2 linked regions of the Schizosaccharomyces pombe genome follow. Changing the gene in region 2 together with the main gene of any one other region gives a genetic interaction. Each region holds a gene or a part of one and is shown on either strand. Other genes may lie near its edges. The genes, in order: orb6 and psu1.

The links.
Region 1: of psu1 (region 2) and orb6, extra expression of one rescues a mutant of the other (dosage rescue), as found in Schizosaccharomyces pombe (one study listed by BioGRID).

The regions. Positions count from the first base shown.
Region 1 is NC_003424.3:1,006,141-1,011,014, reverse strand, and holds orb6 (serine/threonine protein kinase Orb6), read right to left. Parts: upstream 2,753-4,874; 5' UTR 2,577-2,752; coding exon 2,434-2,576; intron 2,167-2,433; coding exon 1,992-2,166; intron 1,947-1,991; coding exon 855-1,946; 3' UTR 697-854; downstream 1-696. Other genes in the region: dnf1 (P-type ATPase), read left to right, coding at 1-375; gamma-glutamyl phosphate reductase Pro1, read right to left, coding at 3,266-4,621. UniProt on the Schizosaccharomyces pombe protein: Interacts with pak1/shk1 and coordinates cell morphogenesis with the cell cycle. It is essential for maintenance of cell polarity and is involved in mitotic control.
Region 2 is NC_003424.3:1,820,746-1,825,159, forward strand, and holds psu1 (beta-glucosidase Psu1), read right to left. Parts: upstream 2,686-4,414; 5' UTR 2,445-2,685; coding exon 1,191-2,444; 3' UTR 656-1,190; downstream 1-655. Other genes in the region: SPOM_SPAC1002.20 (uncharacterized protein), read left to right, coding at 3,227-3,532; itt1 (ubiquitin-protein ligase E3), read left to right, coding at 4,040-4,414. UniProt on the Schizosaccharomyces pombe protein: Involved in cell wall synthesis. May be required for the activation of 1,3-beta-glucan synthase.

The sequences.
Region 1 (4,874 bases), 810 kb from region 2:
ATGCAATACATAAACATCATTTCTATAATAGTACTTGTTTTAACGTCCTTGGCTTGGTTTTTATTTAATATCTTTATAAGCGAGCATTATCCGGACAAGAATTTATATCTTGCTAGATCACAGTTTCTCCATCATTTTGGCAAAAATCCTTCATGGTGGCTTACTATGCTTTTTGTAATGGTTTGTGCTTTAACAATTGATATTGTTGCCCAAATGTTACGAAGGACTTTACGTCCTACGGACACCGACATATTTGTGGAAATGGAAAACGATGCCTTTGTCCGCTCTCGGTTTGAGCAAGAGAGCGGTGAGTTTTTACAAGCCAATGCACCATCTGTCGATGAAATTGAACAATATTTAAAAAGCCGAGATTAGGCATTTAATTCATTAATCCAATTCTAGTATATGAAACTTTCTTTAGACGATAGTCAGTTTACTGGTAAAATGTTAAAATTCTGGGGTTCCCACTGTTCAATTAGAAATTGTCTATTAGTTATGGGTCATGATCCGCATTTCATAATTATTGTTTACTATTTTGGTTGGTTTTCTTGGCGTTAACATCCTGTTGTACTTATTAATACATGTTTTTTACTCACTCTTTTTTATCTTTTCCCTAATAAAATCTATGCATTAATTTGGAATTCTTATGCAACGAATTTAATATTTACAGAAGTGCATGTAAGATTTTATCAGTAGGGACAACATTAAAAAAAAGTAATTGGTAATATTATTAGTTATGCTAAAATAATGTAAAAGAAGGTAAACATGAATTAACGATAAAAAAAATTCGATAACAATAGTTAGATGCTCAAAGGACAATGAACAAAGTAGCTATGGAGTTTCTTGCAGAAGTCTTACAATGCTCCTTTCATCGTTAAATAATTGAATTTTTTGTAAGTGTACCCAAGGAATGCCAGATTGGTTTGTTCCAACGTCTGAGGGTCAACAGAAGCAGGTTGTTGTGTGACAGGTTGTTCAGGAACTTGTTCAAGCTCATCAACAGGGAAATAATGTGTATCGGTAATAGATTTCAAATTCGGAATAAATGGAGCTGCAGTTTCTCGTATATGATCCCAATCGATTCCAGTAAAGAAAGGATGTTGCATTATTTCAATAGCACCGCCACGACCTAATCTGTGTTCTGAATCTGTCATAAGTCGGTCCATCAAATCACGAGCTTCTATGCTTAAATGTATATCATTTGGGAAAGTCAGAGTCTCACGCCAATTGATGATTTTTCGATAAGTTTCATGAGAGTTTTCACTGCAAAAGGGAGGCCATCCAATTAAGCACTCGAACATGATAGCGCCTAAACTCCACCAATCACAATCTTGACCATACCCTTGTTGCAAGAAAATTTCTGGAGCGATATAATCAGGAGTACCCACAGTGCTATAGGCCATCACCCTACGGTTCTTTTTCCAAGTAGCCATTTTGTCCTTGGAAGACATTGTAAGCCAGATAGCATCTACCATTTGACCACGTTTGACAGTATTTCCTGTGCGAGGTTTCATGTAAGAGGCACTCTGATCTTGCTTGTAAAAACCAGTGGAAAGTCCGAAATCAGAAAGTTTTATATGGCCATCCCGGTCAATCAGTATGTTATCCGGTTTTATATCCCGATGAATATAACCCATTCGATGAACATCAGCTATAGCCAAAACGCACTCAGCCATGTAGAAGCGAGTAACGTCTTCTGAAAAAGTATCATAATTTATTAGCATGGTCATCAAATCACCGCCTGGTAAAAACTCCATAATCAAGTAAAGATACAGTGAATCTTGAAAAGCATAATACAATGACACCACCCATGGGGAGTCAGATTCAACTAATAAGTCGCGTTCTGCTTTGACATGAGCCAGCTGGTCACGTTTGAACATTTCAGTTTTAAGCAAAGATTTCATGGCATAGATTTTACCCGTATCGAGTTTCTGAACCAACCGAACCTATTTAATTAGATACCAAAAACATAAACAATTATGCAAACGTACCTCGCCAAATGCACCTTTCCCAATAACTTTGATGGTAGAAAAATCTTCTAAAGAAAGCCGTGTACGACGAAATCGAAGAAATTGAGACTCTTTTTCACCAGATGCTCTTAACTGCCTATTCTTTCTCTCCTCAGAACCCCTTTCGGTTGCTAATCGTTGCTCCAAATTGATACGTCTAAAGAGAATTAGTATTTATACCTAAAAGTAAATTAAACGGAAGCTAGCATTATTAATTAACATTTTCGAAACAAGATGAGTAAGCTGTCTAAGATTTTATAAACATTCGAGATTATGCATTTACTGCAACACGCGAAGTTGAGAACGGAGAAAGAATTAATAAAAGCATCGTCTTTGATACTTATCCGATCAACGTATAAGATGGGAATACTAATTGAGGAATGTGAAACAATGCTAGAACCCTGAATAGTAATGCTACTCGTACCTTTGGTTGCGCTCTACAGCATGATCAACTGCCACCTTGTAATAATGTTCAATATATTTCTTTGTCTTTTGGACTTTGTCTAAAGTTGATTTCGGAAATAATGAAGGGTTCCGTTCAAAGTGTAAGTAATCATTCTTATCCATATTGAAAGAAATGTTGCAATAAATGGAATTTTTACACTAATTAGAATCAACTACAAGGTCAACGAATTAATTAACAAAAAGAAATTGTTAAAAGATTGAAATTCAATCGCTTAAAACATGAATTAACAAGACATGCAAAACAGAAATGAGACAGTGATAAATCGGATATGGTAAATGACAAGTCCTATTATGCTTTTTTAATTATAGGACTACTGCCAGCTAAGGTATAATCCGATAAAAATATGTTAAACTGCGATACTGGAAAAGCAAGTACTTCTGCAGTTTGTTATATAACTTCAACGATCGCTTGCGATAAGCTCCGCGCATTTCCTAACCCTCCCTGTTCAATATTACGACGCTACTAACTGAAGCCAAGAATCTTAGCTTACGAAGATTTTAGAATCTGAATTGAAATGAATAGTCAAAAAAGACGGACGGAGACATCAATTCGTTCTTCACCATAAAAATATTTGTGTAATAAAAACTAAAGGTGGTGGATCGAACTCTACAGGAATAGTTATCTATTTAATTTGGTGTTTACTCTTCATTTAATAACTTCACATTATTGAAACTCCCATTTAAATATTATAGACAAACAAGTAAACAAAAAAAGCCTAACCGATTTGTATCCAAAATGCAGCTAGCCAAAACGTTGACAATTTCACATAATTTTCAAATCTTTTTTGTGTTTATTTTTTCGAAACCTGAGAAATATTGTCTATATTAATAGGGGTATGTTTAAATGCGCGTTTGCCAGGTCCAACTCCATAACTACTTGCAACTTGACCATTTCCTCTAAGTTGGTACTTGTAAATAGTTAACCCATCAAGACCCATTGGTCCTCGAGCATGAATTTTGTTGGTGCTGATGCCAACTTCGGTACCGTAACCATAACGAAAACCATCGGCAAATCTGGTTGAAGCATTCCAATACACACCAGAAGCATCAATTCCAGCCATGAATCTGTTAGCAGCTGCTTCACTAGAAGTGATAATGCAATCCGTGTGTTTAGAACCATGTGTATTTATATGCTGCATTGCGGACTGTAAGGAAGGTACAGTCTTAATAGCAAGAATCAAATCAGAGAATTCAGTGTTGTAATCTTGATCGACAGATGGTTCAACTAGAGCACTAACTTTTGGCATATCCTTTAAAACCTTAAGAGAAGCGGGATCACATTTTAATGTAACTTTTGCTTCAGTTAAAGTTTCAGCAATTTTAGGAAGATGAGAAGATAAAACAGCTTCGTTAATTAACAAAGTTTCAATTGCATTACATGCTGCTGGATAATCAGTTTTTCCATCCAGAACAAGTTTACTAGCCAATTCCATATCAGCATCCTCATGGACGTACATGGAGCATAGTCCTGCAGCATGACCTAAAACAGGAATTTTTGTGTTATCTTTTATATGGCGTACAAGATTAGTGCTGCCGCGGGGAATAACCAAATCTATGTACTCATCCAATTTTAATAATTGTGATACCTCCTCGCGACTCTGAACAAGCTGCACAGCAGCCTGTGGAACCTTACTTTTGCCCAAGGCAGAGCGAACAACATTAGAAAGTGCAGCGAAAGACTTTGCTGATTCCGTGCCTCCTTTAAGTACAACAGCATTACCAGATTTGATAGCCAGGGAAGTAATATTAATGATTACTTCAGGTCTAGCTTCAAAAATGACTAGCAATAAACCTACAGGGCAAGAGACTTTATAAAGGTCCAAACCATCGTCAAGACTACGAGCATAAGTAACACGACCAAGGGGATCAGGCAAACTTTTAACATCTAAAACACCCTGTACCATGGAATCGTATTTATCAGATGAAGACAGATCCAATCTTTTAACCATCGATGAACTTAGTTTTCCTGATTCAGCCAAGAGCTTAGCTGCTTTCATATCTTCAGCATTTGCAGCTAGAACCTCTGACTTTTTTATGCGCAGTTCTTCAACTATTTTATCCAATGCATCATCACGGTCTTCCACTGATAATGTCTGTAAAATGTTAAAAGCGTTTTTCGCTTCCTTTACATTCTCTTCAAGAGACATGCTAAACAATACTTATACAACTTTGAGTAGAGGCAATTGGGAGATTTAAATCAAGCGAATTCTTATTCTTAGAATGGCTAGCTCAAAAAGACTACTTTTTGTAGTATTTTGGTTGTTTTTTCTAATGTATGAATAATGCAAGTTCGTGATTTATTTAACACCCTTCAAGTAACAAAATCAAGCATTGTTACTTTACATTAAGCATAACTAAGATTTCTGAAAGATACGAAATCATGGAAAGTGAGAGTACTTC
Region 2 (4,414 bases):
TTACATTCTTCAAGTTTTATATACACGAAAAATTTATAGCCCTTGTTAAAAAATGATTTTACAAATGTTCAAGCATTCTAATAAACTAGCTGCTATTTTATAAATTCAAAATCATTTTAGCATCAGTTTAGAAATGTCTGAACCTTTTGCCTCGTTTAGATAATTTTCATAACATCTCAAACACTTGTGTTCGCTCCTTCTAGCATCTCGCTGTTTCAATAAATTTTTAACTTCTCATATTCGCTCTTCAAATGATAGTCACTGTGTACACCTCCATGACATATCAATCAAACCATGCTCAAGTATTTTAAAAAAAAAAATTTCATTCAAGTTACAACAAAAACTTATCAAATGACTAAAAATACTTACGAATTTTGCAATGGTTAGTCCCTTTGGTCCGTCGTTTATATTCTCGTTGCGCGAATTGATTCCCAACCAGGCGAAGATCCATTACTTATCTGTCAAGATATAACATCCACCATATAATAATGCATCTTATCTTTTATACACAACGCAGCTTTGCTAACTAATTTAACAGGTGTCTCATCCTACACTAAAAAATTAGAAGTACAAAAAAGATCAAAACTTAAAACTCACTTACTCAATTACTCACATTATTAATTTATTCACAAATATAGTTAGATTAGATTATCAGTTTGTACAATTCTTTTTTTTATTAACAAATCGTAATAAATAACATTTAAAAAAACGAAGGTAAAATAGCAGTAGCGCTTAAAGAGAAATAAAGAAAAAAAAGTTTCAACCCAAATGAGAGAAAGGACTTAACAAAAACGTATACAAAGTTTCCAAACTGCTTCAAAAATGCACCTCCTTCTGGTGAAAACAAACTGCATTTTTCAAACAAACAAGTTAAATCCTTCAAGACCAATATTCATACGTTTAAAAAAAATTAGGTTTAAAGACAACACACATCACATAATGTCCAAAGCAAAGAACGGCGGCTCTGTGCGAAATAGGATTCCAAATAATCACTGTCAATGCAAAGAACAAAATAGACAGACAGAAATTCGAATCTATAAAAATTCGATCATAAACAAGCCTGTAACATCGTCTAATAAGGACAATTTAAAGAAATTTGACCGTAAGGACGGATTACAAATTAACAAAAGTAGCGTTCAAGCAGATATTAAAAAAATCCCCTACGTCCCAAATCGCAATCATTAGGGAACTTAGTAAAAAACGAAGACACCGGATCCAGAAGTGATGCCAACAGTGCAACCACTGCCACCATTTTGGAAAGCACCGTTCTCAAATACACAGGTACCACTAACAGAAGCGCCATCAGCGCCGACAATCTTGACATTGTAATTGGCAAGTTGAGAAGTCAAGGGGTTTTGAGAGATGGACAACCAAGTAGTACCATCAGTCATACCGGCACCAAAGACAAGAGGAGACCAGTTACCATAGTCACCGCTAGAAGTACCCCATTGACATCCTTGTTCAGCAGTATAGCCAGCCTTGTTAACATAGTATTGAGCAGAAGTACCCTTGCCTTCCCATTGGAAGTAGTTAGCGTTATCAGTGACAGATAAAGGAGAGGTAGCACCGCCACCAACATAGGTAGGAATAACCATGTTCTCACTTCCAGGGTAATCGGTTTGGCAAATGGCAACACCTTGGCCAAGTGTGTTTTGAACAGAAGCAGTGCCAACACCGTTTTCACAAAGGTTATCGTAAGCAGTATTAGTACGGTAAAGCTTACCGCCCTTACAAAGCAAACCACCACGGGTTTCACCGTCAGAAGGTTGAGTACTAGGCCATTGAGTCTTCAACATACCGGGTGAGCAAGCATAAGAGCAGTAGGCACCCTCAACGCAAGAGGAACCAGCACCATCACCAATTTGGATACCGGAGTAACCACCATAACCAAGGTAATCCAAAGCAACAACACCGCTTTGGTCAGAAGGGAAATCAGTGCAATCGTAAACACCGTCTTGGAAACCACCAGAGCTACTGCCAGTGGAAGTAGCAGAAGCAGCAGCAGAGGAAGTAGTAGAAGAAGCAACTTCGCTAGAGCTAGCAACAACACTAGAGGAGGTGGGAATGACGCTAGAAGAGGCAGCAGCGGAAGTGGCAGAGTCAACTACAGCGCTAGAGCTGACGGGAGTTACTGAAGCAGCGACGGAGCTAGAAGCAACGGGAGTAACTGAAGCGGCAACCGAGCTAGAAGCAGCGGGAGTGACAGAGGCAGCAACCGAGCTGGTGGTCTCAGCGTCTCCAGCAGCAGTAGCAGCCTCCTTAGCAGCGCCGTTAGTAGAAATGGCGGAAGCAGCAGCCTCAAGAGTAACGGTGGTATAGGCGTAAACCTTAGAGGTAACGACGGACACATCACGCTTGTTAAGCAAGTGATGAGGATGGCGGAAAGGGGCGGCCAAAGCGCCAGTGGTAAGAAGAGCAAGTGCTAAAGTTTCGAAAAAACGCATTTTGCTAAATTATACACAAAAAAGATATATGGATAGATAGATAGAGAAGGTTTATATGTGTCTAAAATTCAAGGAACGAACGAAGAAAAATTCTTTAAAACGATAGTAGATGAGACAAGTCAAGAAAAGAAAGTTTGCTTGAATGTATCTCTGGGTATATAGGAATACAGGCCGGTATCCAACTATTAATATATTATAACAGCTAGCTGTAGATTTCTAATGACGGTTGTTGGTAAACGACAGGCAGGTTTGGTAGGGAGAGGGCCTGTTTTTACCTATCGCGGAAGCAGTCACAACGCGTCACGGAACCGGTGAAACTTGGACAATCGAGACCGCAACTTTATATTCCACGTACGACTAAATGATTGGTGGAGTAATATATTTAATTAATTTATTAAGGTGAGGCTTTGCAATGGGCTAGAGCTCGCTAAACTACGATACCAAGTGCAGTAAGTACTCTGTAAGAGCTTCTACCGTTTGCTGAGGTGGTACCGTTTTCTTTTGTTTAAAATAAACCCTGTTTATACGTGAAGCAAATAGAGCTTCTTTTGATATTGTTTTTTTCAAAATCTCCTTGATTTACGTTTTTAAGAGGTTAAAGTTTCTTTGTTTACTAATTTTCTCAATTAATTAATCATGATTTCATTTACCACATCATAGTTTTCTTTATCGATAATTTAATTAGCGTACACCCCAACTTTACTTTTAAAACCTCGTTTAATATGGCCATCTTCTTGACGTCGTAAAGCTTAGTTATCGATCTCGTTTTTACGTATCGTAAAATGACGTTCCAAAGAAGCTTACGGGATGGTTTTCATCGGCTAATCAATTTCTATTTTTATCCATCATACCACGATACCGTAGTACACAATCTTGCGTTTTCAACATCAGACTACATTTACTTTAAACATTTAACGGATCGGAATGATGACGCGCTGCTTAAGGTAGATCAAACCATAAACAAAACAAATCGTTTCATATTCAGGAAGCTGAAAATACTATGCCCTTCATTTCTTAACTATAGTTTCATTAATATTTATTGTTTTGGACCATATACCATGGTTGGAGAAGAATTCCTTTTCTTCTAGACCAACTGATGGTCTATTACATATTCAGATATGAGCAATACTTTAACTTGACGAAATTGATATATAAGTATATTCTGAATTGTTGCAAGTCAAGAATTTTCGGTACCCTGCATGGAAAACTTTGCACACGAGTAGATTAACGTCTTTTTCCTTTGCTTAGTTTGAAAGGAGCTATAGAAAACTGCATTATTTTACACAGTGACGTTTAGCATACTTACAGTCCATTTGGTTAACGACACGTTATTCTTACATGGTAAAAAGAGAGACAGCATATTCTTATTGCCTTACTAATGTAAATTCATACCGGAAATTTTACCAAATGGCGATTTCTTAATTGCTGAGGTGGCCAGCAGAAATCGTCTTTTCATTATTCTGGAATCAAAACACATTCTTTGAATTGTTCACTTTTCTGTTGCCTTGAAATCTTGGTCTTCTTAGTTGACTGTTTCATCAAGGTTGCTCCAAATTCTTTGTGATTTATTGGTAAACTCGGGCATTTTATTGAGTATGTTGGAGGTGGAGGTGGAATCAGATAACAAACATTTAGTTGCAGATGAACTAATTGCTTTACAATCAATCTATCCCGAAATACACTTGGATGGTAATAACTATGGTCGGCTTAACATACCAGTTAATACAGAGAGCGACTATTTCCTTTCCTTTAAGTCTCCCGATGAATCTACGCTCACAGATACAATCGTAGTGAGGCATTTCCCGGATTTAGTCATGGAATTCTTTCTTCCTGAAGCATATCCTTTTAACTCTCCTCCAACCTTTTTTTTGAAATCTTCATGGCTCCCTTTGAAACAAAAGCGTGTTTTAACCTCTTCCTTAATTAAGCTGTGGAATGAAATTCACGATTGCGTTTTATTCGACGCCATT